Xenopus tropicalis: one gene and its partner. The protein of the gene in region 1 purifies or fractionates together with the protein of each later gene. This does not show direct contact. Links are inferred from orthologs where the notes say so. Each region holds a gene or a part of one and is shown in the gene's direction. Other genes may lie near its edges.

Region 1 (2,558 bases):
ATCAATGGGGAGAATGTGGGTGTATGTGCAAGGCAAGTATACAATTAATACACACCATTCTACTGCTTTAAGGAGGTCCCAATAAGACTGGGTGTATACTGCTTGTAAGGACTCATGGCTGATTCTTTCCTTTCTAGAAAGGATTTCCAACCAGCGCAAATCTAGATGATATCAAAGAATGGCTCAAAGACAAAGGTCCTATTGAAAATATCCAAATGAGGAGAACACTCCAGAAAGAATTTAAGGTAAGTGTGGGAAAGCCACATTTCAGAGTCACAATTCTATCCCCAAATAAAGGCTTAGGACATACTCAAGGGGATCCTATGATAAACACAGTATGCCCTGCAGTGCATTAGGTGCAAAATAACTGCTCGGAATGTCTGTGCTTGGCTAAGTGTTTGCTGCCTTCTTCTCAGTTCAGCGGCTAGTAGTTAATATACAAGCCTTTGGATGGGACAGGCTCTGGTACTGCAGACGAAATGTCAGAACATCTCTCCCTTTTCTTTATTCTGAATCAGGACCATTTTAGGGTACGTGGACTGCAAGCAACAGCAGTAAATAAAATACAGGACATGTTCCCCCTCCATTATATTTTTCATAATGCTTCACAAGAGAACACATATACATACTGAATATCCCTTCAGTACAATAGAGCTATTTACTTCTGTGCTCTGATTGCTCATTAAAACAAATGTTTTTTTGCAGGGCTCCATCTTTCTCATTTTTAATACAGAGGATGAGGCAAAGAAGTTTTTGGAAGACAGAAACCGAAAGTACAATGACAGTGATATGATTATCCTATCAAAGTAGGTGAATATCTTAAAAAAACAAACGCAAAAAAAACATCCACAGGTCAAATGTCAACTTTTTTTTTTTTTTTTTAAATGACTTTTTGGTAGTGTACCACAAGCACCGAGTCTGTGCCTGTCTTCCACTGTTAACTTGCTTTGGCTACACTTACTGCTATTCATCTTATGGAGTGTTAAAGCCCATATAAGTGTTTTTTTGCATAATTACATAAAATGTAAATCTAAGCAACTGCAATGTATACAGTTTAGAAATTTTGTACACTTAGGGGTATATTTATCATGCTGTGTAAAAAGTGGAGTAACACATTACCGGTGATGTTGCTCATAGCAGCCAATCAGATGCTTTGCTTGGGTTTTAGAACTGTTGAAATCTAATTTCTGATTGGTTGCCCTGGGCAACATCACTGGTAATGCTTCACTCCACTTTTTACACAGCATGATAACTATACCCCTTAATGCCAAATGGAAGCAGTATTTGTCTATGTTCTCTGCTTCTGACTTTTGAAACAGCCAGACAACCACTAAAAATTTAATGTATTGGAAAGTTGTTTTGAATTACATTTTCCTTCATTATGCAAAACTGTTTGGGTGGAGATTTCTTTTAAGTCCAGGGTCAACAGAACATAGCTTCTCTGCTTAAACTCACCCTGAGGCATTGCTTTAAGCTTCATATAGTAGGTTCCGCCGACCAACATAATATATATGGGATAAAAAAAAATTGCACTATCTACTCATGGCAGTTCATAATCGTGTGAAAAATCGCTGCAGAAGATTTTGAGTAACTGTTACGCACATTCCATATAATAATCTTTATTTACAGGGAAGAATACTTTGCAAAAAAGAATCAAGAGAGGAAGCTAAATAAGTCTGAAGAAAAAGCCAAATCAAAGCAGTAAGTAAAAAACAATCTTAGCATTATGCAAACTTAGGGGCTGATTTCACTATTCAAGAAAAAAATGCTAATGGGACTATATTCAAGAATATTGTTAAGAACCATGAATGTTCTGTATTAAAAAAAATCCAAGAAAAATCACCAGAAAAAACCTGAATAAAAGCTGGCTATTTGAGTTATTTAAACATGAATGGAACCATGTGATTCTTACCAGCATGCGACTGGGACTATGCTCTAGTGTTTTCTTAAATTATCTAGCATGTAAGAAAAGTTGCATATGTTTTGCCGTGGTTATTTTATTTTTATTTTTTTCCATGTCCAAATGCAAATTTTGATAAATCCTGCACCTTAGACCAACTACTTGATATATTAGATTCTTAAGGTTTTGTAGTATAAAATCTGGTATCCATGCATATACAGAAATATGATTTTATTAACAATTTTTCCTTTTTCAGGGAAAATGAAGAAGCCCAGAAACAGGCTGAGGATGCAGAAAGGGTAAGTGAAAGTTAAGAACTAAATATAAGTTTATTTGATTGTCTTGCTTATGGATTTATAGACTGTCGTCAGGCAGTTGCCTTGCTTCAGCATTCAAAGCAGGCCCATTGAAGGTTTAAAAGTAAGCACTTGTTTATTCACAGAAACTGATGGAAGAAAGGGTTGGCCGCCTCCTGAAGTTCTCTGGTGACTTGGACAATATGACATCAAGAGAAGACCTTTCGGCTCTGTTTCAGGCTCATGGAGATATTGAATGGATTGACTTTAGCAGGGGAGCTAAAGAGGTAACGACCACACTACTTGATTAGGTCTAGTAATGTTTGACAACACACATCTGATTGGTTGATCAACAGCTGACT
Region 2 (3,835 bases), on another chromosome or scaffold:
CTGTCCTTATACTATTATACTATTCACTCCTTAGTGACAGTTCCCTTAACAATTTATGAGGGGGATATGTGGCTGATTTGGCTATGCCACTGTTGGTCACGTGAGCATGATTTGCATGGATTTTGGTTAGAGCTGCACTGACAAAACAGTGTCTTAGTTAGATGTTTGTTTTGTGCTGCCAAATATGTATAATCAATGGTCATAATTCCAGTAGGTTCAAGAAAGTAAAAATGGATGACACAGTGGATCAAACACAGCCCTTAAGTGAGAGGCAGGTGCCCAATTCTGAAGGATGCTATGTGTGGCAAGTGTCGGATATGAACCGGTTAAGACGATTCCTGTGCTTTGGATCAGAAGGTGGGACTTATTACATTGAAGAAAAGAAACTGGGCCAGGAGAATGCAGAAGCTCTTCTAAGGCTCATAGAAGATGGCAAAGGTTGTGAAGTTGTCCAGGAGATCAAAACATTCAGCCAAGAAGGAAGAGCTGCCAAACAGGAGCCCACACTTTTTGCCCTAGCAGTCTGCTCCCAGTGCTCTGATATAAAGACCAAGCAAGCAGCTTTCAGGGCTGTGCCTGAAGTATGTCGTATCCCCACCCATCTCTTTACCTTCATCCAGTTCAAGAAAGACTTGAAAGAAGGCATGAAATGTGGCATGTGGGGGCGAGCTCTGCGGAAAGCTGTCTCTGACTGGTATACCACTAAAGATGCCCTTAATTTGGCAATGGCTGTCACAAAGTACAAGCAAAGAAATGGCTGGTCCCACAAGGATCTTCTAAGGTTGTCTCACATAAAACCTGCTAGTGAAGGTAGGTAGTCATTTTATAAGTTAAGGATCAAAATATTAGATGGATAGGTAATATAGTGCTGCTGCTTGCACTTGGAGTGTAGCTTATGCGCAGGGAACAGTGGGCTCTGATCCCACTCTAAGCTTTGTAATATTAAGTATTAAAACTGGTCACGATTAGATACACTTTTCAGTAGAAGATATAAATGTGAATTTTAATTAAAGATTTTTGTATGAGATCTGTTGACTGCAAAGTGCATGCAGAGTTAAGGATCAAAATATCAGATGGATAGGCAATATAGTGCTGCTGCTTGTAACACTTTGGAGTGTAGCTTATGTGCAGGGAACAGTGGGCTCTGAGCCCACTCTAAGCTTTGTAAAAATAAGTATTAAAACTGGTCACGATTAGATAAACCTTTCAGTAGGAGATATAAATATGAATTCTAATTAAAGATTATTGAGTTCTGAGAACTGTATTGCTCTTTTAAAAACATTGTATATATTGTTATATAATGTGTAAGAAATCATTTTTTTATAGCACAATATGGTCTAGTCAGGCATTTGCTTTCTTTCTTTTGCTTACAATGCAGGTTTAACCATGGTAGCTAAGTATGTCTCCAAAGGCTGGAAGGAGGTCCAGGAGGCATACAAAGAAAAGGAACTCTCACCTGAGACAGAGAAGGTGCTTAAGTATCTGGAAGCAACCGAGAGAGTAAAGCGTACCAAGGATGAGCTTGAGGTCATTCACTTGATTGAAGAGTACCGGTTGGTAAGAGAGCATCTCCTCACAATTCATCTTAAGTCAAAAGAGGTGAGTAAAACTTAACAAAAATATGCATCTGGTTAAACAAATAACACTCTTTCTTTGCTAAAAAATGCTAATATCACTGTTATGTCTCCTTCTGCAATATTCTTAAAAGAACAATTACACCAACAAATGAAAGTGTCACGGCACATAGCAGGTAACAGATAAAACACTATTGTAGTCTACAAAGGTTATCTGCTTTGTAACCTGTGCATTTTATCCTGCTTGAATGGCTGCCCCAGTGGCTACACAGCAGCTTATTTATATAAACTATAGTAGTGTTAGGGCTGTGACAGACAGGGAGATTATTCCCCACGCGAATAGTTTACCTGCAGTAGATACTGCTTATACACAGGCTGAAAACCGCCCATCTGCCCTAAAAACTTTGTGTAACCCTATAAGTACCATTTTATTTTAGAACAATGTTGCTTTCATTTTTCAGATCTGGAAGGCACTGCTGCAGGAAATGCCACTTACTGCATTGTTAAGGAATTTAGGGAAGATGACTGCAGACTCTGTGTTGTCACCAGCAAGCCCTGAAGTCTCCAGTGTATGTGAGCGTCTGACCAATGAGAAACTGCTGAAGAAGGTATTATAGGTTGTTTCTGATTAAACATAGTTTAATTGGTGCTCACTGCAGGGATATCACCCTTTACTTATATGTGAAAGAAGTATATTTTGTCATATTAAGCCACACCCTTAAATACATAAGGGTCAGGCAGAGTATGGCACACAGGCAGAGTAGGGAATGAGACAGGGAAACATATCATGACTACCAAGTAACTGATCATGACCACTCCTACATGAACAGTTTGTACTGTACTATCTAGAGTGAACCAATGCCGGCACTGCTCCTACAGTCTGTCTGAGGTCTTATAGGTATGAACAATGCAGCGCCTTCAAAGTGTGAACAATACAGGGGCTTACAGGTGTGAACACTGCATGGCCAGTTAAAGGAGAAGGAAAGGCAAAATCACTGGGGGCACCAAATGTTAGGCACCCCTAACGTCCTCTTCCTTCCTCCTTTTGACGAGATCTGGGGCCCGCGCATGCACAGTTGAGCAAAAAAATGTTTTTTTATGTTTTTTTAATATACTGTATATAGAACATTAAAACATTCTGTGCATTAAGCTATCAAGCAATGCCCTCCTCTTTAAGTAAAACAGTGATTATATATATATATGCATTATACTTTAAGCTGGCCAACTACATGAAAGTCGTCCTCTCTGGTCAGTCCTACACTCACTTTTATCTGATTCATTAAAGTGGACCTGTCACCCAGACATAAAAAGCTGTATAATAAAAGCACTTTTCAAATTAAACATGTAACCCAAAGTCATTTTTTTATTAACACATCTATACCCATTATATAAGCATTTAAAAGTCCCAGCTGTCAATCATATATTGCCTGACCCGCCTCTATGCCTTAGGCATAGGGGTGGGGCAGACAGTTACTTTCACTTTCAATTCAGAACTTCTTAGATGTCACTGCCCTCCTCACATTCCCCCTCCCTCCTCATCATCTAATTGTGTAACCAGTGCATGGACATGGGCATCAGGTCCCCCCATACTGGCACAGAAACAAGATTTTAGTATGATACACAGCTTGCCTTAATAACAGTGTCCACAAAATGGAGCCTGCCTGTTTTCTGCAATTATGAATTCCAGTGCAGAAGGAAATAAGTTTAAAATAATTTATATAGTGTAATTGAAGTTTATTTTGCTTGATAAACACAATAGAAAACAATTTCTAATTATTTCTTAGGGTGACAGGTCCCCTTTAAGAATTATTCTGCTTCAATATACATTTAACAAAGGGACTGAGTATTACCTGCAACTTTCAAGGTTAAAGCCCCAAAAAGGTTGCCCTTTTATTGGCTCCTTTGGAATCATCTGACTGTAGCTGGGAAGGGTGGGAGTTGCAACACGGAGCTGAGCCCTGCTCCTGTATAAACTATAGCAAACAATGAAAAGCTGTGCTCACCACTAAATTGTAAATCATTAGGAGGGGGGCAATGAGGCTGTGGGCACAAAATTCATACAGACAACAACATGAGATCCTCTGCACTCACCCATTATCAATATATAGGACATTAAGACATTCTGTGGATTAAGCTACCAAGAAATGCCCTTCCCTTTAAGTAAAACATGTTAGACCTTTGTACCATACGCAGCATAATTCCTGTTGAGGAGTGAATATTAAACTAATAATGGTAATAGTTGGGGAGTATGTCTATATGTG

What was found.
Region 2: the proteins of ssb (region 1) and ro60 purify together in Homo sapiens (affinity purification with mass spectrometry; 3 studies listed by BioGRID and IntAct, with this or other methods). This does not show direct contact. The link is inferred for Xenopus tropicalis from reciprocal best matches to the Homo sapiens genes SSB and RO60.

What each region holds. Positions count from the first base shown.
Region 1 is NC_030685.2:68,416,706-68,419,263, reverse strand, and holds part of ssb (lupus La protein), read left to right. Parts: intron 1-137; coding exon 138-245; intron 246-705; coding exon 706-806; intron 807-1,629; coding exon 1,630-1,701; intron 1,702-2,156; coding exon 2,157-2,199; intron 2,200-2,342; coding exon 2,343-2,483; intron 2,484-2,558. UniProt on the Homo sapiens protein: Binds to the 3' poly(U) terminus of nascent RNA polymerase III transcripts, protecting them from exonuclease digestion and facilitating their folding and maturation.
Region 2 is NC_030680.2:117,842,297-117,846,131, forward strand, and holds part of ro60 (60 kDa SS-A/Ro ribonucleoprotein), read left to right. Parts: intron 1-211; 5' UTR 212-230; coding exon 231-810; intron 811-1,378; coding exon 1,379-1,599; intron 1,600-2,035; coding exon 2,036-2,182; intron 2,183-3,835. UniProt on the Homo sapiens protein: RNA-binding protein that binds to misfolded non-coding RNAs, pre-5S rRNA, and several small cytoplasmic RNA molecules known as Y RNAs.